Linked DNA regions of Mytilus edulis. The protein of the gene in region 4 binds, or shares a complex with, the protein of the main gene of each other region. Links are inferred from orthologs where the notes say so. Each region holds a gene or a part of one and is shown on either strand. Other genes may lie near its edges. The genes, in order: condensin complex subunit 1-like, condensin complex subunit 2-like, condensin-2 complex subunit H2-like and structural maintenance of chromosomes protein 4-like.

Region 1 (7,919 bases), on a different chromosome or scaffold from region 4:
AATTGTGTGAAAAAATCTAGACCTTGAATAATAATACACTTTCAAATAAAATGCAATAATGAATTGTAATAAAAATATTTTTGAACTGAAATTGAAAGCTTTTAATGAAAACAATGACTTTCCCTAATTTTTTAACATTATTAAAAACGATGTTATAATGAATAGAATACAAACCATATAACACTGAACAGAGTATCAAACTTATGTAAAAGACATTTGCTGCCCTGGCTTCGAAAAGCAGTCTTCAATTCTGTAAAGACAAAAAACATCTTTTTATTTAGAGCACTTTGATCTTGTAAGTTATAGTAGAAGTTTAAGGAAAAATAAGAAAATTAAGATGATAACACAATATTGACTGTTGTACCCCTATTTTTGGCATTTTTACTCTTTGAGTATGTTTGTTTTGTTCATGCATCGTTGACAATGTAATGGAATTTGATGCGACTGTCATACAAGTGAGAGGTTAAGCTAGCTATAAAACCAGGTTCAATCCACCATTTTCTACATTAGAAAATGCCTGTACTAAGTCAGGAATATGACAGTTGTTATCCATTCGTTTGATGTGTTTGGACTTTTGATTTTGCCTTTTGATTTTTGATTTTCCTTTTTGAATTTTCCTCGGAGTTCAGTATTTTTGTGTTTTTACTTTTTATAAATAAAGATTGTAAAAATTTTGAATAGAGATTAAAATACTGCTGATTTCTACCTGTATTTTATTTATATCAGTATAAAATAAGAAACATGGTATGATTGTCCAATAAGGCAACAATCCTCAAGAGTTCAAATCATTGATGTGGCTTATTTGATTGAAAGCAATATTGAAAACACAATTAACAGAAAAGAATGAATTGGGCTTTTTTATTACATATATTGTTTAATCTTATATTTGTTCTGCTTTTCTCAACTTTTTCTTATTATCAAAATGTACAATAACTACAGATAAATAAATAAAAGATGTGGAAAGATGGATAACAGCTGCATCAACATGTTTCAATTTTCATCAACAAAATATTTTTCAATTTACCTTGTAGAGCACCTGGTATCTCTCTCAGTGTGGCAATCTCACTGACAACAAAGTGATCTATACCTGTTCTGTTTAACAAGTCATCACGAGAAGAGGGAATTACAAATTCAAAACTCATCTTTAAAACTGAAAATAAAGAATAAGAGATTATTAAACAGTATTCATTTCTTCAATCATTTATCAATAGAAATAGACTTCATAACAACATTTCAGATTTGTCTAGTGATTGCACTTATTTACAATTTTAATTCTCATTGTGCTCATTTCGCAAATGTAGTTTTTGGACCGTTCTTTTTTAACCAAGTAGAAAAATGGGCTTACAAACATTAAAACATCACAGCATGAGTATGGGGTTAAGTCATTATCAGAATAGTAATGAGGCTGGTCAGAGATGATATTTTTGTCCATACAGTGCCAGCCAATCAAGTTGTCATTTTCATTCCCGATAATTAATTAACCACTTCATTTTTTGTTAATTCTGCAGAAAATACTTGCTTCAGTTTCTAGACTAGTTCATTAGTTGATTTCTTTTTCAATAGTACATTCCCTTTTTATTTTCAGATCTCTAAACTAACTTATTCATTTACTTTAAATTTCTAATCTGAATATACAATGTAAGAGACAGAAACAACTTGTTTTCAGGTCGATCTGGCCCCAAGTCGATCCAGCCCCAATAAAAAATTATATCTATAAGGAATAAAAGGAAGATATTTATTGTAATTCATAAATGTTTATGAATTTTATAATAATGTTAAAGCTGTACGGGTATAATTACAATAAAAAACATAAAAGAATTTATTACAATCAACATTAATTGTATTGTTTCCAATTGACTGTGATCCTAGCAAGTGTCATCCTGTGTAATAAGGAAGTTACATTAACAACAACACAAGCCGATCCCTAAGCTGATACACACTTAATTTTTGTTTGAGTTCTAAAAACTTCTAAAATTGATAAATGTTGTTTGATTTGCCGAATCCTTTCTATAAAAGAGGAGACAGAAATATAACATGTATTTAATTTTGTGTAAGGGCCTCAATGAAAATTAAGCAGTCTATTGAGTTACAGACACAATGACACTGATTTTTGTATCGATTCAAAATAATGTCGTCAATTATGGATACTTGTAGATTTTTAAAATTCCATTTATACTGATTTCAATTTGACACCAAATCCTCCAAAGGCAGTATAGATTAGTATTCATTATTATATTATGAGGCCGGATCGACGTGGGAAGGATCAACTTGGAGCTGGATTAGTTTGTAGACAGAACGACAGAATACCGAACAACTTTATCTTCTTCTGATTGTATAACCCCCACTTTTCCTGACTTTAGGCTAGCCCAACCTTGTATGGTGTTGTCAAATTATACACCTTATCGCTAAAACAGGATAGTCAACCAAATGACGGTGGTCACTTAGTGGTAGTAGAAGTAATTCCAGCTGACCCGGCCGCTTTAACTATTGACGTAAAAATGTATACAACAATCACTTTTTCGTTGTAGCGTCAGATATTTTGTTTTATGATGTCAGACAAATACTCATAATTTCAAATAGCGATAAGATGTATTGTGAACAGAACAGGGAGTTTCTTCAGTCAGTACTGCGGGAACTGGTACAGCAACAAGGGATCTGAATGAATACATGACACAAGGGTTTGAAGGATCGTACTGCCTCTTACGAAAGATATGATATCTAGAAAGTTTCAACATTTAGTAAACTTTCAATAACTCAACCTTGCAATGTTCAAGGAAACCCCCCTTTTTATGTTTCAACAAAATTATGAGTTCACGCCTTCTTGCATTTCCTTTATAACTGTTCTCATCTATAAATCAATGATAAGTATAATAGCATAACTTGTAATGTAGACTCTTACTTCTTTTAACTTTCTAAGCGTCAATACTATACTGATCATTCCACAATGTTTACAAACTTTGAAAATTTCAACTTTCCGCCTTTCGCAGCGTGAGATATCGACCAATCAAATTGAAGCTTTATATTTACATCTTTTAGAAAAAAGAAAAATAAAGACCAAAGGAAAATAGAATTATAATTTCGATTAGGTTTATCAAATTTCTTCCAAATTTTGAACCTATAAATGATTTGATGAAAACGTAAAATTTAAATAGACCAATCAATTTGAAAATCTATTTAAAGTTCCGACGACCGGAAGCAATCATTAATCTCCAAACCGAAAGTGGCCGGCATGAGAAAATCTTTTAACCCCGAGATGGACAAAAATGAATAATTTTAAGCCCTTTTATCTTATCCTTTTATTGTTATCGTCTGTGATATTGTTATATTTAAGTTTTAAAAGTATTGTTTTACTCACAGTTTTAGCAGTTGCTGTCATATGGGGCTCGAATGTCGTAAACGGCTCCTGGAAAAGTACAAATACTCAAAAATTAACAGCATTTAAATTGAAAAAGACGAAACCATTCTCACATGAAAAGAAAACTAAAATAAAATTAAGCAACAAGAAGAACAGTTACGATTCATCATTCAAACAGTTTTTTAATGCAAACTGTGAAGCAGAAATGCCATCCACAGTCAAACTGACACCAGGCCCAAATCGACAAAAAACATCAATTAACAGAAGTCAGACTTTTTCATCTCCGTCTCCATATCTCCGGACGTCATTGTTTAACAGTTCATGCTCTTTTCAAGATCGCTCGGATGGCAACTTGTCCATTTCATCAACAAATGGTCATTCAAGATCTCCAGCACCATTTTTACCATCGATCAAAAGAGCACTCGGGGTATCAGAATACTCACCAAGGTAATTGATAGTATGAGACAGGTGCTGCCATAAAAGAGAATTTTTCTAGTATTATCAAACAGTTGCCAATAAAGGCACTTCGAGATCAAACAAACCATTTTAACGGTGCGGCCGAACTGCAATGTCATATTACAATTACATATTTCAATTACCCCATGTCTGTATGATATGGGCCATGGGATAACACTGCCTCGGTTAACTGGATATTTTTTCCCAACTTTATTAGATATGATAATGATAAAAAACACTTACGTTCCGTCATTGTGGTATTAGTCACATTTTGATATAAAAAGAAAAAATTCCCAATTTTTATTTTTTTACATTTACAACAGACATGACCATGATGACAGATTATATATTTCTAGACATATTTATCTATCTTCTAATTTCAATTATTAACTTGTGTGATGATGTTCTGTAACTGCAAAAGGCTTGTCTATCTTTAACCAATTTATAGAAGTTAATACATGTACAATCAAATGACTATATGCATATATGTCTAGTCCAGGGATGGGCATGATACTGACAAAAGTAATCGATTACTTGAAGGATTTTTGTGTATTCGATTAATAATCAATTGCAATTACATTACTTTTCGATTACTGTCAATTACATGCTACAAAATAACAATAAAATAAGTAAGTTAAACATAACTATGTAGTTCAACGTATGTATAGTGGAAATTTAGAACTTTATGAAAACAGCATTTAAAGCATTGTTTTTAAATTTTAAGTTAACAGTTGTTTTCTTGATGGAAGCTCTTACTGAGGATGAGAAATATTTAAAAATTCTTGATTTTTGGTTTTCAACATGAGTGAGTAGTGATAAATTTCTTGCACTGACATGGCCTGGTTTCGGTCACTTCTTTAAATTTTTTTTTTTTTCTCCATGTTTTGCAAATTTTTGCTGTCATACTGACGTAAGTTAGGTATTTTGTATTTACTCATTTTTAACACGTATATTTGAATATAGTTCATTTCAATGTTGGAAGTTTCCTCTGAAAAAAATATATAAAAAAGGAGAATAATTAACTAGTTCAGCTAATTTTAAAGATGTAATTTTATAATATTTATAATTAATACATGCATGAAATAATCGGGTTTTTGGATAGCCTTCCTAAATACAGATTATAAAACTGCCAATGGGATACATTTTATAACTGGGGCAATATAATGTAAATCTCCTCTTAATTAGACATAACTGAAATCAAAACAAAGTTGGCATCTCATTGATTAGAAATCCTTGATCATCTGATTGGTAAAGACAATAAGTTAGTTGAAATTTTATTATGCTATATTCAAAATTATAAACAATATATATTTTTTAGTGTCAAAATGGGATACAGGTATCCTGCACAAAATTTCAATGCATAGTTATCGGTTCATTGTCAAAAGGATTTTGTGAACTTTCTAATTTTTTAAATCATAATATTATGACGAATCAACTGTTTATCTATTCTAGCTAAAATTCCACCTCTTATTTAAAACTAAGCTTCAATGTCAATGCAGTACAGAACTTAACCCTTTCAACGCTACACAAAAAAATAGAAAAATGGCTGCTGCTGCTGCATTTTTTTTGTGTTCATTCATTAGAACAGTATATTCCTTTTCAGACTGCTGTATCTTTTTTATTATAAGAGATACAGAAAAAGTTATTGCATGAAAAATGCTCAGGAGAGTATGAACTGTAATGTTAGGCAGTTATTTAAGTAAAATTTTTATCAGGTTACCTGCATTTTCAGGTAATTAACAGGTAAAAGGTGTAATTTGTTACATTTGTGTTGAATTTTGAATAAAAACTACTTTTCGTCTTCATCTATTTTGTTTTTTTATCTGCCATATAATAAAGAAGACACCAATTGCTCGATTCCGTAGCGTATTGCACCATACACAACGTATTATGTAATCATGGCACAAATCAGTGGCTCCGTCCTCAAAATTTTCAGTCAACCTCCGTTTTCCCCCCTTTTTCTATGTCTCGTAATGATCGATCAAATCATATTTCCCACACGAATTGAATGTAATAAACACATTGAGATAACAAGAAACTTTTAACTAATCCTCGTCATCAGTTTCGCCATAGAAATGCTGAAATATTTCCATATTTACAGCTTCGTTTCCGATTTCCGCCATTTGCATTTGTCAAAATATTTGTTTTTATTTTCCTCCAATTTTCCTTCTACTGCATGATTTTACAATAAAAATTGCCGGGATTTCAAGCGCAAATGAGACCTTGCATATCTTCAATTCATACAAGGAAAAATAAGAGAGGACCCGAATGAAAACCGAATGGTTTCGAGTCCTTATGAAAAATCCGTTGTCATCGCGGCATATGCCGCGAATAGCAGTGGCGGACGGCGTATGTCATCGCGGCATATGCCGTGTATAGCGTTGAAAGGGTTAACACAAGACTCATTTCTTATTTTTATCTATTTTCTTATTTCAAAATAAAAGGTCTTTAAATTATTGGCAAGCATTGAAGACAGTATAGTCAATTGTTTCATAGCTGATTATATACAGTAAAATTTGGTAGGAGATCTGGTTGATCAAAATGTAGCTATAGACAAAAGATACAAATTAGGCATTTGATAAACTCTGAAGTTTTTTTTAATAATTTCTATTTTATCTGTACTATAAAGTGATGAAGACATACTTATTTTCATTTAAAAAAGGATATATTTCATTAAACTATTTTACTAAAGTAATCAATGATTACATCATAATAATTGCTGTAATCGATTAAATTAAGATTATATGTAATCGAAATGTCTTCGATTACAGATTACTGTCGATTACTGAAAAAAATGTAATCAATTACAATCGATTAGGATTACAGATTACAATTACCCCATCCTGGGTCCAGTCCACCTTCTGTATTTACATCTCAAAAGTGTGGGCAGACAAAGACCCAATAATGTCTGATTAAAAAGAAATCTAGTAAAATGATGCTCTAAATAAATTCTTTATAGGTTTAAGTCTTTCTGTAAATTGGCAATTTTACATTGAAACTACAAAAAAGTTGAAAATAATGTCATATACATGTACAATGTATGCAAAATGCCAAGTAAAAGATTAGACTGACGAAATCTTAATCAATGTCAACCCACATGACTGGCATGTGACTTATTTTCAAGAACTGTTGGGTTGCCATGAAAAATGTTTTTGAAAATATTGTTTATATGATCAGATTTTAAATTTTTTCCCTAGTTTGTGCATTCTTGTAATCTTCAACATATTGAAGTTAAAGAGTATTACATGTATGTAGATGTATATGTAGAGAGTGCTGAATGTTACGTTAAACACAAACAATTAATCAGTAATATTTTTCAGGAAAAGACAAGTGGTCATCCATCTTATGGGTTTAGAAAATAAATTTCTTTATAACCATGCTTACTGTATACTACTGTAAATTCAGAATTTATTGCGTGTATTTATTATAGTGATTTTGTCATTTTAGACTAGAACACAATTTTAATTTTTGCGATTTAATCATATAAATTTTTATTAAATGTGAGTTTAAATTATTGGGATTGTAACCCAGTCGCTTTTTGTTTTGCATTATTAAAAACATCTCAATAATTTCAGCATTTACAGTAATTAGTTTTAAATGTTTATTTTCAGACAGGAAAATTCAGTTGTTCCTCCATCTTACCAAAACTATCCTTCACAAGCATCACCAGGATTTGTTCCGGCAGTTAGACTTATAAAGCGAGAAAGGTCATATTTAGGTCACCAGAAATCACCATCAGTAAGGAGTTCCAATGTAGTAAGGATTGCTCCACCAGAGCCACATAAATTGTCAAGTCCAAGGTAGGATATTATAAGAATGAAATTAGGTCATGTAGGTAGTGTGTAATAATCAGGTTGGCCTTCATTTTTTTTTTAGTTTCATATATCCTTAGAATAAACAAGAGATTATAAACAAACGCTTATAACACTATTTTTAATTAAAGAATTGAAAGTAAAGTTTAAATTAGTCAAAACTTAAATGTTGATTCACATTAAAGGGACAAACACACACATATACCATGTATACATGTATCACAAAATAGTAGCCGATTGGAGCTGTTATACATGTATGATATCCTTGCAACATATAACACCCACCAGTGATTTCT
Region 2 (7,000 bases), on a different chromosome or scaffold from region 4:
TGTTTCAATTCTAATGCTCTGGAGCGACGTCGATCACGCTTCTCAGTACCAGCATCATATTCTTCCATATACATAGTCACAGGACTATCCATTCCTTTATGTCTGCTAGTTGATGGAGACACAAAACTACCAACTGTATTACTAATACCAGACCGTTTCTGTATGGCTGGCGTTGTCAAAGGAGAGAGGACATCTGACCTGCTGGGCATCTATAGAAAGCAAAAATTGTTCAATTGTTAATCAGTGTAAATTAAAGAAGTCACACTAACCAGTCTTTGGTTCTCTAGTTTTTCTTTAATGCTATGTTGACAATTTTATGATCTGAAGTGATATGCTTTTTTAATAAGAAATTGATTTTGATCATAGAAGCAGCTTGTAGTAATTTATTTTAGTGGAAAATAAATATACAAGGTTTTTTTCCAGTGAAAAGAGTTACATTCTGTCATTGATGACCAATGTACATGTATGCAGCTTGGGGAACTCAGCTAAATATTGTTTATTTAACCATTAGTGTCCATCACCAATTGTAAAATTGTGCATTCAAAGATAAAGAAGACATTAATACACTATTAAGTTTATTTGATTGTTTATTGTCACATGTACATAGGAATAAGCTTTCTAATTGCTGAATGGGGATATTTTTTATTTGTTAGTCTACACACAGGAATTCCCCAGTTAAAATATGAAATTGTAATTAGTGACAATGGAAAAGTCAGGCCAAACCTCAGATGTGTAGAATTCATGCAACCAAGTTCAGGAACTAATTGACAAATGCATTTATTTACAAATTTTGAAAAGTTCAAATACAGTGATCGGGAAGGTCGTGCGCCCTGCGCCTATAGCGCATATCGACCAGAAATGGCGCATAGAGTGACTTATATAAGCGCCCACGTGGCGCACGATATTTTTCACTTCGTTTCGATACGTTTTGATATCGTCAAATGGATTTCCGATCGTGTACCGTGCCGCCATGTGTGTGTACACAACTGTGTAATGTTCCTCCAATGATAGGAGCACCTATATATTTTTGGGACGTCTCGGGTGTTTTCCTATGGAAATAATAGAACCATGGGTGTAACTGATTACCCAAAAAACGTAATTAACCATCATTCATGATATGATTTTTTACAACCTTAAATTTGTAAAATTTGGCTAGTACAGACGAGATTTGTCTCTAATTATTATCTTTTAATTTAGTTCAGCTTGCTACTTTTTCGTTGAAAAACCCCAAAGCCTTTTTATGAATATAGTTTTTGTCTCCATAAAAGGCGACTAACTGTCCTTGTCACTTTTTGGTCTTTGGCTTGTTTTGACATTTTGTAAACATGCCTTCAGCGAATTGTTGTTTTGTTTTATCAATTAATGATACTCTCTACTGTTATTGTTGTCATCGTGATGAAGTAATAATAATACAAGAAGTGCAGAGGAAATGCCAAATACGTCCTCTAATACGGAACGTCGGGAATAAGTATGGTATCGACGAAGACCCAAATTTAATGTAAAAAAACTCATGCACATGAACAAGACAACAGTAGCAGTAGAAACATTGTAAATAAAGGATATCTTAAATATTATCTGGTTTGGAAGAAATTATTTTACATTCTTTGTTGAATTGAAATAACAAAATCACAGGCACAATATCTATAATATTATTTAAAATCATTAAGGTAAGTACCACCATCTCTTTGCTGAGATATACACTTTTTACTTTTTTCACTGTAGTCAATTCAAATGGCCCATTCATTTGACAACATGGCCCATTATTTTTTAAAATGGCCCCTTGAATTTAATTTTGAGGGGCCCTGGGCCCAAAGAGAAATAATCCTTCCAGATCACTGCAAATAACATTAAATATAAATTTACAATTTTTAAAATGCATCCCTGTTTATTTTCTAGCATGTGTAATATGTACATATACATGTACTGTACAACTGAAAAACTTTCTTCAAAATGTTTAATTTTCCTCTCCCAGTTGTGGATTTGAAGTTGTAACACAGATGTCCATTAATTTAATACATTGAGAATGATTTGCTGTGAGTATTACATTTGTTAAGAGAGTATAAAGGATTTTCTCCTATTGCATCATGGCAATTTCATTCTTTCCTGTTATTGTGACAGGTATTTGCAGTGCCAGGCCCAAATTCTCTTGTTACATGCATGAAAACAACAGGATGAATTAAAGAAATCAATATGAATACATTTGTATATACATTTTTTGTACATGTAGATTATCAATTATAGATTGTATAGTGTTGACTGTATGCATAATACAAAAACAACTGGCATATCTAAAGCTTACAGTATTTCACAATTATTTAAAACATTAAATATAATACAAAATTGAAAAACACTTTTTTACTCCTGTATCAGTTTATGTATGCTTTACATGTACTTACTGAACAACCCAACAATTTGAAAATAATAATGTGTTGTCATTCCTCATATTTAGTATTAAGTAACCATTGTTCAACATATAACTTGCGAATAATCAACAAAATTCTGTTTTGCATCAGTACATGTGCAGACAATAATAAACTGAAGAACTATCAAAAGGGAGACAACTTCAAAAGATTTGAAACATTTTAAATATTGACTATCATAATTTGTGTTTAGCGGTTTCTGTTCTTTTATATTTCTTAATTGTCATGCTATTATTCGTTCCTAAAAATATCTTTAATGTATAAACTACATATTTGTTATTAGAAATCACTATAAACATGATAAATCGGTTTATTTTGATATTCATAAAAAATTATGAAGACTGAAGTGAACCCGTTCTCATTTGATTTAAACAATCTTAAAGGGTACACAGTTTGATAATTTCATAGACTCACTGGGAATGTTTTGTAATTTTGTATATGTGTTTTGTCATTTACACTATAAAGTCACCTTTTGTGTTGTTTAGAACTTATCTATTGTTTTGAAGTTTCCGCCATCCGTATGGTCTCGTTTGTGGACGAGAAATTGCGAGAAATAGGGACACACTAAGACATTATTTGCATTTCCGTGTATGCCTCTGTAAGATGGAAACACGTAATAATAGTTTTCATCGTCTAAACGTTTCAAATTCAGCAAACAAACCAAAAGAAAGTAGCAAAATAACAACATATGTATCTTATAAGTATCCATTAAAATGTTACTAGAAAAAGCACACCTCCTTATTCCTGAGACAAAGAGTAAAGGTTAGTATAAATAACATCCACAATTGTATATATTACAAAATACGCATTATGTACAGTATTCACGAATTCAAGATTACATATTGATTTTAAAAGAAAAAAGTGACTATATAATTTATTTATCGTTAATTCTTACTTTGAATGAAGCATTTGTGTAGTGTACTATAGCAATTTGCACTTAACTTTATGAGAGCCACAAGTAAGATTAGAACACAATATAATAAAATTGAGAATGGAAATGGGGAATGTGTCAAAGAGACAACAACCCGACCATAGAGCAGACAACAGCAGAAGGTCACCAACAGGTCTTCAATGCAGCGAGAAATTGGTTTCACTCTCTTTAAATAAGGCATATTATTATCAATGCTGCTTAAATTTTCTTCAAAATGTAGGTGAAACCTAAATTAGATATGAAGATTGAATATAAAATAGAATAAGATGATATGCATGGTACGGATTCCAATGAGACAACTGTAATCCAAAAAGACAAGAGGACAAATATGTGAACAATGTCAGATCACCACAAAGGGTAATGTCACTAGCTCTCGTATCCGCCGCGTAATCTGATCCAGAAGTGATAAACTGGGTTTTCAATCGTTAACAAAGTTTAAAATCGAATTTCATTTTGGAAAAAGATGAGTTCTTTTATAACAAGATGTCACCATTTTCCCTGAATTTGTTTCCATCGCCGAGTCGCGGATGCAAAGGTGTTGAAAGCTAGAGAAATTTTGAAATGTAAATAATTGCTTGTAAGTGGCTTCGAACAGTAACATAAATAATGCGGCGGGGGTAACATGTTTGTGAAACTCACTCCTTCCTAACCTAGTGTAGTAGTGTGAAAATCGCAGTCACATTGGAACAAATCTTAAAACTACGTTAAAAAAGTCGACTCGATCATAAAAAAAACACACAAAAACATGTAACAAAAAGAATTAAAAAAAAACATTGATTCAATGATGTCATAGATAAAACACTCTTTGAATATAGTTTCAAATTGTTGTCAAATGATATACTATAAAAAGGAGTGGGGGTATATTAATGGCATTACAATCTAAACACTATAGATACAGTATGTCTGAACTGTATAAGTCAGTTAAGATAAAAATCTTATTTTTTTTTAATTTTTGGTTGTACAAAAGACAAGCTCTGAATCAAGTTATCGTCTTGCTTAAACTATGTCCTGTAATAAATGATTCCTGTATATTCAGAATAAGGACTGCTAGATAAGTGTCTAAGTTCAGAACGGGAGCAAACTAACATTAAACTGATATATGCAAATATGAAAATGAAATTATTCAGGATAAGGCAAAACATTTTGACCCAACGCTTGCACACATACGAGAGCTGTTTTAAGGGCCATTCTCAAATGAACAGCAAAAGAACAGTGTGCCAAGCTTATAAACTTCATCAACAAACCAAATTTCAGAAACAAGAAACAATTAGAATTCAAAAGTTTATTAAAGTCTCACCACATACGACATGATTAAAACAAGATACAATTATAAAATTAATTATACAGTAAACATAGTTAAAACAATTAAATACATGTATGTGCCATTCTTAAAAGAATTATGAGAGACTATTAAAATACAAATAATACTTATTCATTTTATAAAATACTACAAATACAGTAGTTAATGATATAAAATACTGTTTCTCCTTGTTAAAATGTTATTGCAGGTTTTGGCAACAATATTACAAATATTGGTATTTTTAAACATATATATAAATTTTTCTTCATCAGACAAGTTTAAAAACATATCATTATGACACAATTTATCAATAAAAAGAGCATGTCTTAGATCTTCATACAAGGGACAATTTAAAAGTACATGTTTTTCATCCTCTAAAATATTACAGTTAAAACAGACACTTTCGTCTAGATTTTTTCTTTCATATCGACCAGTTTCAATTTTTAATGGTGCTACATCACATCTAAACTTTGAAAAAGCACTACAATGGCGCTGTGGCATTTAAACAAGATGGCAGGCATAATTCAAACCACTATTTAACAACGAATACAGTACACGCATTTTAAAAGAATTAAAAAAGTGCACACAACAATAGTTCAATGTAATTATTCAAATATTCAAATATACATATTTTTTTATTTGAAGAAGCAAACACTTAGTCCAGAAGACAAATTTCAAGTCAACAAAAAAACCCACCTAAGGACATGTATAACATTATACAATATAACACTGAACAATATAAATTATCACTGGTATACTATTTGAGTCTGGTGGAGGACCGTAAGGGTTCTGTACAGGAAATTCGTTTCAGTACATAATTGAAAATAGCACAACAGAGGTGTGGGTAACACAACAGCCTGGTTTGTGTACAAACGGCATGACAATAAACGGACAGCAAATGTGATACAAAGGGTCATAACAGCACTGCATTCAAGCACAAACTCCTGACTTGGGACATTCATATACTGAATGCTGCGGGATTAAGCCATCATTCCGACGTGGGGGTCATCTCCACCAAAACAGTGATTCATATAAGAGCACATTGATTTAATTAGAGAATTTCTATAAATTAGTCACTTGAAAGACTGTCCCTGATATAACATAAGAACAAATTATCCGTGACTGAAATCATATAAATGATCGCCGATACAGAGCACACCACAACTTATAATGTGAACGCAATAAGGGACGACATCAAAAGTTCAATGAAGGATAAAAAACTTAATTCAAATAGTTTTTTCACTGACCCCCCTATAAACTTAATTTGGGAAAAATTGATTGACCCATATGGATATATGTAAAAATCAAAGTCGGATAACCAAATCTTGCAGCAGTTCAACCCCCAAACTATTTGAATTAAGTTTTTTTTTTTTTTTTTTTTTTTTTTTTTTTTTATCTTACATTGATCTTTTGATGTCGTCCCTAAAGATAAGATTATCGATCTAATAATATTCGAAGCTACCGAAAGTTATTTTAATGCCAATAACAACTAAAAAATAATCATGTAGTCAATTTAAATTTCACTCATTATTAATTTAGTCTATTTGAATTACTCAAAATATCAATATTCACAATTTAATTTTTAAAATGATAATTTTTAATAATGTAAATCATAAACTATGTCGTTTAGTGCTATATCTTTGTCATTTTAATCTGAGACTACTATAACTATATGTGTTATAGTAGTCTCAGTTTTAATTTATTGTGTTTGTAAAATTCATGCCTTTTATCTTGAATATGTGTGCACACAAAAAAATATTCATCCGTATACGTTCCTTTGATTAAAAGTGTAAAGACGTCATAAACATTTTATGAAAGCGTGACCTTCTACAATAAGGTACCAAAACAATTGTCCATTTTGCTTGTGTGATCTTTTTTTTCTAATAACATGTTAAAACGCAATCAGATCTACTTCTGTGGAATGAATTTCCATTTATTTATTTATATTCCGCGATATGGGTCCGACTTCGAGTTTAGCAGTACATAATTTATTTTTACCTGCGTTTCGAAACCGTTCATTTCATTGGTTGATATATTTAGCAGCGCCATCTTTAAAAACAACAAGCTAACAAGAGTAAGCAGGATAAAATTGAAGATTGGAAAATCAGTGATTGTACACCAGTTAAATTTGATTTAACACCAAATTTTAAGGATTTATTAATTTTTTAATCCTCCTGATAGAAATTCCATTTTTTCATTTACATTTATTTTTGACAGTCAGACTTGTTTCAATTTCAAAGAAAAATAAATTTTTATCTGGCAAAAGCAGAGTATTCCGTAGTCCAAATAATTATGACGTCTTGAAAGGCTATTATAATTTTTTTCTTTGACGCCTTACTTCTTGAAAGG
Region 3 (7,888 bases), on a different chromosome or scaffold from region 4:
TCATGAGTAAATGCAACAACCTGAATGGAAACGCCATTTTACGATCTTTCAAGAACCATAACTCCTGAACGGTAAAAGTCAAAATCGTCATTATTGAACTTGACCTCTATTTTGTCATCAGTAACAACATATTAAAATTTCAAAAGCTTTGGTTGAATGGTTCATGAGAAAATGCACGGACACGACGGGAAAAACCATTTTTCAATCTTTCAAGAACCATAACTCCTGAACGGTAAAAGTCAAAATCGTCATTATTGAACTTGACCTCCATTTTGTCATCAGTAACAGCATATTAAAATTTCGGAAGCTTTGGTAGAACAGTTCATGCATAAATGCACGGACACGACTGGAAACTCCATTTTTCAATCTTTCAAGAACCATAACTCCTGAACGGTAAAAGTCAAATTCGTCATTATTGAACTTGACCTCCATTCTTTCATTAGTAACAACATATTAAAATTTGGGAAGCTTTGGTAGAACAGTTCATGCGTAAATGCACGGACAACTCCATTTTTCAATCTTTCAAGAACCATAACTCCTGAACGGTAAAAGTCAAAATCGCCATTATTGAACTTGACCTTCATTTAGTTGTCAGTAACAACATATTAAAATTTTAAAAGCTTTGGTTGAACGGTTCATGAGTTAATGCACGGACAACATTTGATTGCCGCCCGCCCGCCCGACTGCCCGACCGCCCGCCCGCCCGCCGTACATCCCCAAATCAATAACCGACATTTTTGTCACAAAAATCCGGTTAAAAATGAAAACTCAGACAAAAATAGAGAATGTTTTTTAAGCTTTATTGCTTAAACTGATCTTTCAAACTAGAACTTAATCCAGAAGAAAGTTAAAACATTGCTTTAACTGTACCCTAAGTTGAATATATATATCCAAATTAAATTAATTAAAGCTGTAAACCATGATCACAAATTGAATGCTATGTTACATTTCATTGTTATTTATAGACAGTAAGAATTTAATTTTGGAAATCATTTTGATTAACTGCTAAGATTTATTCATGAAAAATTAATATTTTCTTGGGGTAAAACTGATAATACTTTAATAATCTACATCTGCCACGGTATTTTCTATCCAATAGACAAGGAACATTAGCTACAAATTGGTCATTGTACTTTCAAATTATATACATTTAACAGACTTAAGAGGTATTGAGTGAAAGTAACGTATATCATGTATATAAAAAATTATATTCATCATTAAACACCATTTAAATGCATTTGAATAAGTTGGTACGAGTTAGCAGTGGTACGAGTTTGCATTGGTACAAGGTTTTTTTCAGTGGTACGAGTTGACGTTGGTACGAGTTTACAATGGTACGGGATAACTATAATTCCACTATAATAACCCATTCATTCATTTAGTTGGGTAGGTAGGGTAACTGGAACCACACATATATTTTTATTTGGCCATATATAATCAGTGATCGGGAAGGTCGTGCGCCCTGCGCCTATCGACCAGAAATGGCGCATAGAGTGACTTATGTAAGCCCCCATGTGGCGCACAATATTTTTCACTTCGTTTAGATATGTTTAGATATCGTCAAATGGATTTCCGATCGTGTTCCGTGCCGCCATGTGTGTGTACACAACTGTGTAATGTTCCTCCAATGATAGGAGCACCTATATATTTTTGGGACGTCTCGGTGTTTTCCTAGGCCCGTTTTCCTATGGAAATAATAGAACCATGGGGTGTAACTGATTACCCAAAAAAGTAATTAACCATCATTCATGATATGATTTTTTACAACCTTAAATTTGTAAAATTTGGCTAGTACAGACGAGATTTGTCTCTAATTATTATCTTTTAACTTAGTTCAGCTTGCTACTTTTTCGTTGAAAAACCCCAAAGTCTTTTTATGAATATAGTTTTTGTCTCCATAAAAGGCGACTAACTGTCCTTGTCACTTTTTGGTCTTTGGCTTGTTTTGACATTTTGTAAACATGCCTTCAGCGAATTGTTGTTTTGTTTTATCAATTAATGATACTCTCTACTATTATTGTTGTCATCGTGAAGAAGTAATAATAATACAAGAAGTGCAGAGGAAATGCCAAATACGTCCTCTAATACGGAACGTCAGGAATAAGTATGGTATCGACGAAGACCCAAATTTAGACTAGTGATTAATTTGTACTACTTAAATAGGTGATTATAAAAGAAGACAACTCTTACTTCCAACCTTAATGGCCATAATGTTACTTGAATCAGTGATTAGAAAATCACTCATTTAAGTACATTTAAGTCCCCTGACTGGTTTAACCTCGCCACATTCTGTATGTAAGTGCCTGTCCCAAGTCAGGAGCCTGTTATTCAGTAGTTGTTGTTTTTTGTACATAAATAAAGCTGTTTGTTTTCTCGTATGAATTGTATTACATTTGTGAGTGGGGCAAGACCTTTTTCAGGACGTGGACGTTGGGATCGGGTGTTTTTAAGTTTGGGATTTCTGGATTGATCCTTTCGGGATCTAGGAATTCTTTTTTTGAATTTCGGGATGTCAAGATTTAAATTTCTTTAAATTCGGGACCTCAGGTTTTCATATTTTAAAGCCCAGGATTTTGGGATCAGGAACCCTCCTCATTTGTTATTTGCCTTTTATAAATTATAGCTTAGCTGACTGTGGTATGGGCTTTGTTCATTGTTGAAGGCTGTGCGGCGACATTTAGTTGTAAATTTCTGTGTCATTTGGTATCTTGTGGAGAGTTGTCTCATTTGCAATCATACCACATCTTCTTTTTTATTTCATATATGTGATATAGTAATACTCAGTAAATTAGATTTAATTTGACTTTCAAACTGTGGCTTCTCTTCCTTCCATGAACTAGAGAGGACGGGTTTTGGTGTGAATAACTTGAGCCTTCTTGCTCGTAATGAACAACTGATGAAAGCTTTCATAAACACCTACTTTTTTTACTATTTACCTGGTAGTTTTTATATTTATATTTTGATTTTGGATATCCCGCTTCCGCTAATACATAAAATGGTAAATATTGAAGGAACAATTTGATTGGATATAACGGGGCACCTTGCAATATTTTATCCAATCAAATATTGTTTAACATCAAAAACGAAAGTAGAATATTTTAATCCGCCAATTACAAAATGAAAGTACAATTATGACAATTTGTTTTAGCATTAAAATTTATAGAATCATAGCTAAACCAAGAAATTAATTGAATCTTTTGTAGTGTGAATTATTGTAATTATGATCAGATAAACGATTGATGAAGTAGTTGACATCTATTGAACAGGGAACTATTTTTCAGTGCAACTGTGTCCGAAAGTGTTGTTAGGTCCGTTGCAGCGGCTGTTGTTGTGATTTGGTTATTAATATTATACATTAAGATGTCATCTTACAAAGTAACGAAAAATGCCTTTTTATGGGGCATGGCAGCAATATATTTGCTTGCATTTTCATCACTATATGTACAAATTCCTGGTAACTATCCGTTTGTTTACTCTTATTCAGATTTTAACATTTATAACCATAAAGTGATTTCCAATAGCTATACATAAATAACCCATTACTTATCTTTTAAATCTATTTATTTCAATTTGATTTATAAAAGTCCATCTTGAGTTCTATGTTCAGATTCTGTTGACCAATTCAAGCACATCATTTTAAAGACATTTATAGAAATGAAACTGAAAGAGTTATAAATATAAAAAAAACTTATTGAAACAGTATAACTGTGTTAAATATAGTTGGAAAGCAAGATTTATATTATGAATAACTAGGTAAATTTTAATCAGTTTCTAAACCGAAATCTAAAGCATTTTATACTTACAGAACAATGACCTTGAGCAATGTTCACCATCCTAATGAATACCTACTCTGTAATATCTTATAAATACTGAATGGTGACACATACAATAAATGATTGACTTCATTACTCCCTACATCTGTCATAAACTATTGAATCCAAACATCCCCCTGCTCAAATAATATTTACAACTTTTCTGACTTCTGATCAATTGAAAGTCTATATATCAAATATTTTTGTTTATATGCCATGTATGTTACTTAGTTGAGTCTGAGTACCATTTACTTTTCTAATATTGGAAAGAAATTATACTCTTTTCTAGGTGTTTACCTAAAGTTGTAGTTACTTTTTGCTTTACTCTGAAATAATTGAAATAAATGTTATAAATTTTGATTTTGATTCCAGAAATATTAAAACCTTTTTAACCAAATTTCTTTCATTCAAGGTTTATATGGTGACAATGGAATATTGCCAGCTAGATTAGCGGTTGGGAAAGGTAATTAAGTTCTATTTTTAAGATTTTTAAATTAGACTAAGGTTGTAGCATACATGTACTATTTATTACCAAACTATTGTAAAAGTACAACAGGATTCTTCTTCCATGATTGAAGTACAATTCTATTCATATGATACCAGGCCTGTCTCAGTTTGTTAACTGTTCATGCACTACTGCGATTCTTAAATTAAATTCTCTAATTAAAGGGTAAAGAATGAATTGAAAGTTGTATATATGTCACTGTATGTCATTGAGACAGCACCCCCTCCCCCCCCCCCCCCCCCAAAAAAAAAAAAAAAACAAAACCAAACACCAACAAACAAAACATGCATTTGTCCCCAATAGAAAAAAGTCATATCATACATCTAAACCTGAGTCAAGACATTGTGAATTATTAACACTCTACCAACACTACTTATGTGATTGCCAGTTCATTTAGTTCCTCTATCAAATCTGACCATTATTAACAATCTTATATTTTTAGCTGCAAAGTCATTTGCTGATTTGCTAGATGGACATCCAACTTTGCTGAGATTAATGCCAATGATTGGATTAGATACCGAGACTGGCCTTGATCTCCTTTGTATACTGGGTATACTGATCTCCTTTGCAGCACTTCTTTTCCAGGCAGCTAGAGATGTTTTTGCCTTTACTCTTTTGTGGATGTTATATTTGTCTATATACCAGGTAGGTTTACTTAGGATATCCCTTGATGTTTTATCGGTAATTTGTATATTTTCCTTTGATGTGTACTCACTGATAATGTCAGTATCAGTGGACTGGCCGTGATATAAAAATTATTGGGTTAGTACGCAATTGACATGCGCGAATACAACGCGTAAGGATCTACTTTCCCCTTTCATTCACAAAATTGCGCATGATTTTTTTCGCAGAAACGCACGAGATTTTTGGCGATGAAATACTTTACATTGTTTGAAACTTTCACAAAGTTAGTTTAGCCTTTTTGAACAATTGATGTCAAAATGTAAACAAAATATGCATGAAAAAGCCGATAGACTTTTAAAAAAAATGTGTTATCTATAATTGATATATTAAGTACATGACTAACATTATTATATCGTCCATGATGTTCCAATCCGAGTTTTTATGCATACAATACCAATACATAGCCGGGTGCTGTTCCAAGTAGTTTTCTTTTTCTGTTTTTTGAGAAGTATTTGTTTTACCTGTTCAGTCACTATAAAGTGTTGCAATTCATATTTAAACGCAACACATAAATAGTGACCAAAAAGGTACCGCTATCGCATGAGAGAAGCTAGAAAATAATGGTCAATTTAAAGACAGATATTCATAGAACAAAGAACAAAAAAGTGAACTTATTCATTTGCGGATCTACATGTAGGATAAATTTTAAAAAGGGGGGTAACCGGGGTCACCAAACTATACATGTATAAAGGTCTGCTTTGACCTGAATTGTAGCCTTTATAAGCTAAGAGGTGACTGACACGGGTCGCCTTCCCCTAAATTCACATAAGAAATTAAAGGTAACCACAGTGACTGTAAACTCAAATTTCATTTTTCTGGTCCGTGTTGAAAATAGATGAACAAGACTTTGACAAAAGCAAGAATTATATTAAGCTAAAAGTTTAGTGACGTCTATTAAAATGTTTGAAATAATTATGAAGAAGGCAAGAAATGAGCTTGTTCAGATAATTTACAAATAACTTTAACAGTCACTCAGCTCCTAAAATGTCTCCTCACATAGTCCAAATAATCATGACGAAAAAATATAATAAACTTTCAAGATGTCATAATTATTTGGACTACTCCTCAGTGCTTCCTTAAAATTATTTGAAATCAATGTGATCGTTTTCATGATGAACACTGAGCGAATAATGACAAGATAAATGTAATTTTATCCACTAAACTAAGTAAAATATAATTATAATAACTTGTCGTTGAACTTAAAAATGATGATCGATGAACAATTAATCTGCTGATTCATATCGTATCATTCTAATGTTCTGACTTACTATGCTCGAGGGGGGTCATGGATGCATGGATAGGACCTTTATCGGGACTCCGGGATCAGGTGTTTTTAAGCTCGTGATTTCGGGATGTCGGGATTTACTTTAATTTACTTTATATTCGGGACCTCGTGATTTCGTGTTTTTAAACGGGCCGGGATTTCGGGATCAGGAACCCTCCTATCCCCCTCTTTGTTGATGCTTTGTGAAAAATACAGAAATTTGACTTACCGGTATGCTACCATTATATTTGCCATCGTTAGAGTCATGTCCAAAGCAAAATATTAATGAAACACATGCAATAATTCCTTCAAATCTTTATACTTTGTGCAAGAGAACGCCATGTTTAATGTTTACTGCACTGTGACAAAATTTCAAATGACGTAATGCAGCCTGTGACGTCAAGTGTGATTCGCCGTGATCCGACGCGAAAAAGAAGTTTGTTTGTTATTTTCTCTATTATTGTAGTGATTTTTAATTTTTTTTTAAATTACCGATAAACAGAATAAAGGACTTTTTGTTTTTGATACTGACTTTATCACAAAAAATATCAGGCTCGCCCGAATTTGTCTATATACCAGGTAAGTGTACTTAGGATATCCCTTGATGTTATATTTGTCTATATACCAGATAGGTGTACTTAGGATATCCCTTGATGTTATATTTGTCTATATACCAGGTAGGTGTACTTAGGATATCCCTTGATGTTATATTTGTCTATATACCAGGTAGGTGTACTTTGGATATCCCTTGATGTTATATTTGTCTATATACCAGGTAGGTGTACTTTGGATATCCCTTGATGTACACATTATGTCTGTCTTCATGTGTACAATAAAAGTGTGTAATGAAGATTATTCTGTTGTTGATCTTATATCTGTAAACATAAGGGACGACGTCAAAAGTTCAATGTAGGATAAAAAACTTAATTCACATAGTTTTTTCACTGACACCCCCCCCCCCCCCCCCTCTTAACTTAATTTGGGAAAAATTGATTTACCTTTATGGATATATGTAAAATCAATTTTGGATTAACAAAACTAGCAGAAATGTTGACCCCCCACCCCCAAACTATTTGATTTAAGTTTTTTATCCTACATCGATCTTTTGATGTCGTCCCTAACAGGTACACTTCAAGTTGTCATGAAATTTGCCCTGTTGTGGACATTACATCTTTACCAAGTAGGTGTTATGGTGATTATTTTGTTGGGAGTTTGCTCTTGGTTGTTTGTTAACAAAGATTAAAAAAAAAGGATTGTTTTTTTGCAGATGATATTCTGACTACATACCAGGAAGGTTTCATTAAGATAATTCTGTTCTTGATGTTACATGTTTATCTGTATCTGTCTGTAGTTGTTATAAGGACTTCTCTGTTGATGACTCCACAGTAGATACAATGTACTGTGTTTGTACCATACTTAATAATCAGATATATTTAACTTCAGTTGAATTTTAAATTACTATATTCTTATAAACTGGATGAGATAAGTATTGTTTAAACTTTTGAAAAGTGAGATATTGTAAATGTACATGTACATGACTATTTAGTTATTATCTTACTTGATAATTTGAAAATTAACCTATAGTAAAGAATAAGATATTTTATTCACCAAATTTGGGCTGCA
Region 4 (7,888 bases):
TTATTCTCCACTAATTCAAGGCAAACAATATCACTGGTTCAGGGTATGGTAATTTACGAAAAAAGTAATCTCACTTCGTACCCCGAAAATTTAACCACATATGTGAAAATGTCACAGCTTCGAAACGAGCTATCATACATATCCAAGTTTACGATATGGACTGAGCTACAGGAAAAAACGTTATCATTACTGCCTATGTAAAAACAATTAAAGATATTCGTGATCTCCAGATGTCAATAATAAATTATGTATATGAACATGTAGATGTAGAGGAAAATTTCATCTTCTCACTGACTGTTGGACTTTCCTTAAAAAAATATGAGAAATAAGCAATAAGAAAACAAACTTGCTGACTAGGATTTCCGTGTAAACAAGCTTAGGATCTAAATCAAGGTAATCAGTCAGTCAGCAAGAAAAAGCAGCTGGCTCACTAAGAATTCATAAGTGATTTGCCAGATGGAGATACCCAAGTTACCATGGTTAATAATATATCAATGTGCTAAAAATTACTCATCATTTGACAGCAATAGGTAGACTCGTACATACTAAACAGGGCCTTGTCAAATAATTAAGGAGGCTTTGAATTAGGTTATTTCAGTGTTCTCCCCAGGATTTTTTAAGGCACAAAATTAAAGGGCGTGTAACCCCTTTTATAGTGAACTTTTTGTGATCTGAATCAATCAGTCATAAATCATAACATGCAATATTGCTTTGTGTTGTGTGTTTAATAATGCAGAGTATTATTGAATTTATACAAGAATATACTATATGAAATAAATTGATTTTAAACACAAAAGTTATTTATATTCAGTCAATTAAAGAAGTCAAAATATAAATATTCATCTCTGTACTCTCTGCTACTTCTAGGGATATTGTTTCAAGATAGTGTTATTTTGTTGGACAGTCTGTTCCTCAATGTTGTCTTAATCCTCTTCAGGGTTGAAAACCCCCTCTCATAATAACTTTTGCTTATACCCCCTGAACATTTCTAAGCCATGAAAACTCAGTCAGTCACTTGTCACTGAAACCAGAAACATGGTGCTTGCTGTTATCACTTGCTAAAACTTAGCTCAGTTGGGATTAGGAGAAGCATTTATAACATCTGCTTATACTGACAGCTGAGTGTAGAGGGAGGTGTATTCCCCTTTTCATAAGAAGTCATTGATCTGAAAAAAACTTCTACTTCCATCATGTCTTTTGCTTTGATTTCACCCTTTGTTGTTTGCAGAGAACATGTTCATTCAGAATTAATAAAATCGAATATGGTTAAGATACCGTAATTGGTATACAACTTTAAAAAAAAAATATATTTTAATGAACAGCTGACAAGTTTCGTGGTTTCCGTAGTTTGACATTTATTTACGCTTCCGTGTGCATTATTGTTATAATAAAACCTATCTTTGGCAGGTAGATATAAACCAAACTTCGTTAAAGTTAAAACCATTGGAATTATTTACTAGTGACATTATACAGAAGCCGCGGCGATTCCGTACCCGTGTTGATTGTTATTTCTTTAATTTCTGCACTGAAGTTTTTAATTTTCTTCTGAAAATATCTATCTTCTTGATGATCATTTACACTATTAGTCTATTACATGATAACATAGTCCGATAAGGCTGAGATAAGCCTGGCTCAGGTAAAACTATATTATCAGATATTGCGTAACACTGACCGTAATACAGTGTATTGAGAGTGCAAATAAGAACTTGGAAAATTTAAATTGGTTAAAAATGGGTTTTCAGGATTGGGCTTCCCTTCAGTGTTTTACACAGTTCAGAGGCCTAAAACTTTCAAAAAAAGTGTAAACCCTCAGACATACAACTTATCATAAATGATTGTAATTATCTTTGAAATATGCATACAAATGACTACATTTTGTACTTCCAGTTGCAGGTCAAATAGAAGTAAAAAATCAGTAAGTTCTTGGATTTTTTTTGTGCAATGACTTTCTTTAGACTGCTGTACCCAGATTAGTTTTACTCTAATCCAAAAAATGTTGTTTTTTATGGGTTCACTTGGGTCCACTCTACATGCGACTACAGCTGGAAACATATATATCACCATCCCTCTATACTATTTCAACACCTGATGACAAACTTGGAGCTTCTTTGTATCATGAATGCCAGTTTTGATCTTGGAGTATAATGTTCTTCGTGCAAGAGCCTAAGTAGTGATATCCATTAATTGATCTTTATATTAGCAAACATTTTTTTTTGGTGCTTACCAGAAACATATCTATAGGGGTTTCATTGGGGTCTAACCGTGATGCGGGACAGATTTGTTTTAAGTGAAGTCCTGTAGGACACGGGAAATTACATGCACCATTATGGCAACGTGAAGCAGGATACAGGATTCTCACTAAAAAATTAGCGGGATCTGGGTTGAGACCCCTCCCTCCCCAAATACATGTACACCTTATTGCTCTTTGTCGGACTTGACACAGGTTACTGAGGTACCTAAAAAAAAATTGACGTCATGAAATAATCTGACACCACAATGGACAAGTGATTGTTGTATGACATCTATTGTCCACGCAGGACAGATTCTTGGATCAGCTGGGAATAGCATTAAGGTGTATAATACTCCATCTATACTGTTCTATATCTCAGCCTTGGGCGAACGAACCTGGATTCTGCATGGACGAAAATGGTCTTTAATTTTAAGAATCCCTGCTGTTTTATTTTTATACCAAAAGAAGCAAGATGGTTATGATATGCTTTATAATGTATGACAGCAGCTGGTGAAAAGACATGAACTAGAACTTCTATAAATTTTTGATGACATTTGATGATTTGTGATGATTTGAAAAATAATCTGGTTTTGAAGGTTGATGTGTTTTCTCCTTTTGTGTTTTAAGACGTGAACTACCTGTTTCAAGATTAAGCGTTCTTTGAGGAGATGTTTCCGCGTTGGAGGTCGCAACTTCCATTTCTTCTGACATTTTTAAAATTTTGTTGTTGTTGTAAATCTGAAAATGGCGCCCAAAACAAATTTTGTAAGGCAGACAGGCATGGGTTGCACTAATGACAGGATGATTGCCCGGATAGTGACAGGACGGTTGACCGGACGACATATAAATAGTCATAACTTTTTTGTTATCCGATAGATTTGTTTAATATTTGTAAACCTGAAAGATATTAAACTATATTTTATGAATATAAAAAAAAAGAGGAAAAATAATTATTTTTGAGCAAAAAAAGTTGACCGGACGGTATTCACACTCGCCAATATACGCTAAATATATATTCAACTGGTTGACGACAAGTGTTAATATCTCTTTTGTTTTACAATATTTGTCCATGAAACTCAGGAATCTGTGAGATTTATAAATATATTATACGAAAATATAAACTTGATTGCAAAAAAACGTGTTTTTCTCAAAAAAAAGTTGACCGGACGGTATTCACCCTCGCCGATATACGCTATATATATATTGAAATGGTCGACGACAAGTGTTAATATCTCTTTTGTTTTACAATATTTGTCCATGAAACTCAGGAACCTGTGAGATTGAATAATATATTACACGAAAATATAAACTTTAGGGTAAAAAAGAAAACAAATCTGCAAAAAAAGTTGACCGGACGGTATTCACCCTCGCCGATGTACGCGTTGATTATATTGAACTGAGCGACAAAAAATGTAAATATTTTTTTTGTAAACAATATTTTTTCATAAAACTGAGATATGTGCGAGATAAATAAATATATGATATGAAAATATAAACTCTATGATAAAAAAAATATTTTTCTTCAAAAAAAAGTTGACCGGACAGCTAACATTCGCCGATATATGTTAATAATAATAAATTGATTGACATAAGTGTTAATATTATTTTTTTTACCATATCTGTCCCTGAAATTTATGAACATTGGAAATGAATAAATATATTATACGAAAAATTAAACTATATATTTAAATAATAAAAAAAAAATTAAAAAAATTGACCGGACGGATTTTACATTCAATCGATATATGCCTTAATATATTGAACTGATCGACACAAGACTAAAATATCTCTTCTTTGGTTATAATATTGTTAATAGCATATTATTAAATATCTACTATTTCTGTTTGATGTAATACATCTGTATGCATATAGACAATAGACCCACTGTCCATTTTGATATTTTGTCTACTGGTAAGTTGTACTAATATGATGGCTATACAACTGTCTTTAAAAAGACATGCCTTTAAATAAAGCAATATATAGTAGCACTAATATCAATCTGTTTACTTTTGTATTTATAAATATATGTTTGACAACTGTCTTTAAAAAGACATGCTTTTGAATAAAGCAATATAGATAGTAACACAACTATCAATCTATCTATATCAATAGTTCAATAATGAATATATATTGAAAATTGTCTTTAAAAAGACATGCAAAAAGCAAAATATAGTAGAAATATAATTTGTGTGATCTGAACTGGTTGAAAGTCAGAGCATAAATGACTGAACAATTGAATAGTTATTATTAGGTGAGTTAAATGTTAATCTGAAATCCTGAACTTCATAAAATTTCTTCTTTAATTGGATACTAATTACCAACTGATTATAAGGTAATTCAATTAAATGTATTTGATGTCTCAGGTGTGAAAACTTTAATGACATGTTATTTGGCTTGATTGGTGATTACAACAAGTGTCAAAATTAGATTAATTTGATTAAATATCATTACTTCTAATATGCATTGGTGAACTCGCTCACATAAACATTTTGGGCTCATTGTTTTTACTTTAAAGTTTATTTTTCTTGTAAAATATTTATCTAATCTCACAAATTATTTCATTTCATGGACAGATATATTATAAAAATGAAGAGATATTAAAACTTGTGTTGATCAGTTCAATATATTTAAATAATAATATCGGCGAATGTTAATTCCCTCAGATCAACTTTTTTTTTTAAGAACAACATTTAACATATTTGATATAAGGTTTATATTTTCATATCAAGTACTTATTGATCTCTCAGATTTCATAAATTTGATAAAATAAAAGAGATATAAACACTTGGGTCTACCAACTTATATTAAGGCATATAACGGCGAATGTTTGTTCCGTCCGGTCATCTTTTTTTGAAGAAAAACATTTTTATTTACTATAAAGTTTATATTTTCATATCAAGTATTTATTGATCTCGTAGATTTGTTAGTTTCGTGTAAAAATATTGTAAAACAAATAAGATATTGACACTTATTTGTATCAGTTCAATATAATTAACGCGTACATCGGCGAATGTGAACACCGTCCGGTCAACTTTTTTTGGAGACAAACTTTTTTTTTCACTATAAAGTTTATATTGTCGTATCCAATATTTATTATTCTCACAGATTCCTGAATTTCATGATAAAATATTGTAAAACAAAAGAGATATCAACACTTGTCGTCGACCAGTTGAATATATATATAGCGTATATCGGCGAGGGTGAATACCGTCCGGTCAACTTTTTTTGCAGATTTGTTTTCTTTTTTACCCTAAAGTTTATATTTTCGTGTAATATATTATTCAATCTCACAGGTTCCCGAGTTTCATGGACAAATATTGTAAAACAAAAGAGATATTAACACTTGTCGTCGACCATTTCAATATATATATAGCGTATATCGGCGAGGGTGAATACCGTCCGGTCAACTTTTTTTTGAGAAAAACACGTTTTTTTGCAATCAAGTTTATATTTTCGTATAATATATTTATAAATCTCACAGATTCCTGAGTTTCATGGACAAATATTGTAAAACAAAAGAGATATTAACACTTGTCGTCAACCAGTTGAATATATATTTAGCGTATATTGGCAAGTGTGAATACCGTCCGGTCAACTTTTTTTGCTCAAAAATAATTATTTTTCCTCTTTTTTTTTTATATTCATAAAATATAGTTTAATATCTTTCAGGTTTACAAATATTAAACAAATCTATCGGATAACAAAAAAGTTATGACTATATATATGTCGTCCGGTCAACCGTCCTGTCACTATCCGGGCAATCGTCCTGTCATTAGTGGTTCCCGACAGGCATTGGTCAAAATGCTAGCTTCCGGTTTAATCTTGATTATCTTCCTTGTTAGAACACCGAGAGAGGAGAGAGACGAATATGAGATTTAGATATCCATTTAGAAATTGTACAGTAAAAGACAAGTTCATGGCAATTACACTGTTTGGTCTCATCTTGATAGGTAATTTACATATAACAGTCTTATATGATTTTCGTCCCAACTTTAATTTCAACCTTTTAAAAATATTCTTTTCAGATGCAAGATGTTTAGGACCATAGATGTAATATCCATCTTCATCTTGGTATTACATCTATGTGCGGACATACTGCAACTGGCACAACTTGAACTATTTTCGGACATACAAAATATATTATACAATGTATAACTTCTCCTTGACGGGAAGATAGATAGATATTATATTCTATTCTCTGTTTTCACAATTATGTACATTTTTTTGTAAATCAAGTCCAAAAGACAAAGGGAAACTTGACTATTGTTTAACCAAGGCCAAAGGTAGTCCGATCCACGGCCCTAGCTTGTCTGGTAAAACAGCTGTTGGACGTCAGAGTAATCTCAGACTAAGCCAAAGGTTATTAGAACAGTAGAAAGTCTTTTGAATCACACCAGATGCATACTGATGTACCCAGACCGGAGTTTAAACTAGAATGGGTACTTTGGGGGCCTTGGTTGGTCAAAGTTGTCCCCCTACTTTGACCTGGAGATCAATCTTCTGATATCTCTCTGGTTTGTCTGTTTCCACCGAGTGACCCGGTTGTTCTCTCCGAGTACTTCGGCTTCCTCCCCCATAATAATAGACTTCCTGGTGTCCTAGCACTCCCTTTGTGTTGTGTGGGGATTGATTGTCCTTGTAAAAATAATTGTCGTATAAATATACGTTAGTGACATATCTCCATTAATCCCGTTAGGGAGTGTACATGGATGCCACTGTACCCTCGCAGCTTTCGAGGGGTTCTTCGGATATCGGAGGCATTTACCTGTACATACATACATACTGAGGTCCGTTAGTAAGGGTACAGTAGTAATGCCCTTAGCCGTTAGGTGTCAAACCATCATTTTCTGCTACTGTTAGCTTCAAATAGGTTAAAATTTTACAATGATTCCTCAAAATATCCTTGTCCAGATTTCTCATCAGTCTCAAATAATTATCGTTACTGTTAATTTTGGAAAAAATTTACCATTATTTGTCATGATGATGCCCCCATTTAGACCTACCATTATAATAACAAATCAATTTTCTATGCCCTATAATGGGCATTTATATGTTTTCTGGTCTGTGTCTCTGTCCCGCTTCAGGTTAAAGTTTTTGGTCATTGTAAAAGTAGTTTTTGATGAAGTTAAAGTCCAATAAACTTGAAACTTAGTTCACATGTTCCCTATGATATGATCTTTTTCTAGTTTTAATGTCAAATTAGAGTTTTTACCCTATTTTCCGGGTCCTCTGAACATTTTTTTTTTCGTATAATATAAATTTTATTTATAAAGTATTGTGATAAGACATGTACATGTAAAAACTGTATACGGTTATTATAACATGTATAACTTTTAAATGTATTTATATTTATTATTATTTTCAAAATGTTCATTTAATCTCAAGTGTTAAACAAGCTGAAAAATAAAATGAATACTAATGAAAATTATGAGACCCACAAAATGGAAGATTAATTTCTGTCATAGTTAAATCAATAAGTAATCAGAAAATTATGAATTCTGAAATTGAAAAAAATATAATATTATCATTTTTTAAATGAACACAAGTATTAATTATGCTTTTGTCAAGAAACTGTACATAATAAATACTACAATGTTTTAACCACATTGGAATAAATACTTTAAGTATGGATGATATGTCCTATAGACAATGTGGTGG

What was found.
Region 1: structural maintenance of chromosomes protein 4-like (region 4) and condensin complex subunit 1-like share a complex: the UniProt entries of both Homo sapiens proteins name them as parts of the condensin complex. The link is inferred for Mytilus edulis from reciprocal best matches to the Homo sapiens genes SMC4 and NCAPD2.
Region 2: structural maintenance of chromosomes protein 4-like (region 4) and condensin complex subunit 2-like share a complex: the UniProt entries of both Homo sapiens proteins name them as parts of the condensin complex. The link is inferred for Mytilus edulis from reciprocal best matches to the Homo sapiens genes SMC4 and NCAPH.
Region 3: the proteins of structural maintenance of chromosomes protein 4-like (region 4) and condensin-2 complex subunit H2-like are in contact, whole or in part, in a cryo-EM structure (PDB 9F5W), measured with the Homo sapiens proteins. The link is inferred for Mytilus edulis from reciprocal best matches to the Homo sapiens genes SMC4 and NCAPH2. Residues at the interface, in NP_001002800.1 of Homo sapiens: Ile100, Leu101, Gly102, Pro103, Ile112, Gly113, Pro114, Ser117, Gln1151, Met1152, Leu1155, Phe1227, Lys1228, Ser1231, Ile1232, Phe1235, Tyr1236, Glu1239, Gln1240, Asn1253, Asn1254, Phe1256, Glu1257, Arg1261, Gly1264, Ile1265, Tyr1266, Lys1267, Thr1268, Tyr1269; in NP_689512.2 of Homo sapiens: Arg494, Ile495, Trp498, Glu499, Thr501, Val502, Leu505, Leu506, Gln509, Glu510, His512, Phe547, Cys550, Arg551, Met553, Leu554, Leu557, Gln558, Ala560, Asn561, Tyr563, Val565, Glu566, Ile567, Gln569, Leu573, Glu574, Ala576, Val577, Asp578.

What each region holds. Positions count from the first base shown.
Region 1 is NC_092356.1:7,065,736-7,073,654, reverse strand, and holds the start of condensin complex subunit 1-like, read right to left. Parts: upstream 3,011-7,919; 5' UTR 2,900-3,010; intron 1,151-2,899; 5' UTR 1,143-1,150; coding exon 1,025-1,142; intron 251-1,024; coding exon 175-250; intron 1-174. Other genes in the region: uncharacterized protein, read left to right, coding at 3,264-3,802, 7,423-7,611. UniProt on the Homo sapiens protein: Regulatory subunit of the condensin complex, a complex required for conversion of interphase chromatin into mitotic-like condense chromosomes.
Region 2 is NC_092347.1:57,141,585-57,148,584, forward strand, and holds the start of condensin complex subunit 2-like, read right to left. Parts: upstream 3,001-7,000; 5' UTR 2,890-3,000; intron 2,560-2,889; exon of another isoform or gene 2,397-2,559; intron 210-2,396; coding exon 1-209. UniProt on the Homo sapiens protein: Regulatory subunit of the condensin complex, a complex required for conversion of interphase chromatin into mitotic-like condense chromosomes.
Region 3 is NC_092350.1:23,512,419-23,520,306, reverse strand, and holds the start of condensin-2 complex subunit H2-like, read right to left. Parts: upstream 3,016-7,888; 5' UTR 2,937-3,015; exon of another isoform or gene 2,921-2,936; intron 1-2,920. Other genes in the region: lipase maturation factor 2-like, read left to right, coding at 3,361-3,454, 4,225-4,275, 4,760-4,962. UniProt on the Homo sapiens protein: Regulatory subunit of the condensin-2 complex, a complex that seems to provide chromosomes with an additional level of organization and rigidity and in establishing mitotic chromosome architecture.
Region 4 is NC_092346.1:88,614,378-88,622,265, reverse strand, and holds the start of structural maintenance of chromosomes protein 4-like, read right to left. Parts: upstream 3,011-7,888; 5' UTR 2,942-3,010; coding exon 2,869-2,941; intron 1-2,868. Other genes in the region: UDP-glucuronic acid decarboxylase 1-like, read left to right, coding at 6,099-6,180. UniProt on the Homo sapiens protein: Central component of the condensin complex, a complex required for conversion of interphase chromatin into mitotic-like condense chromosomes.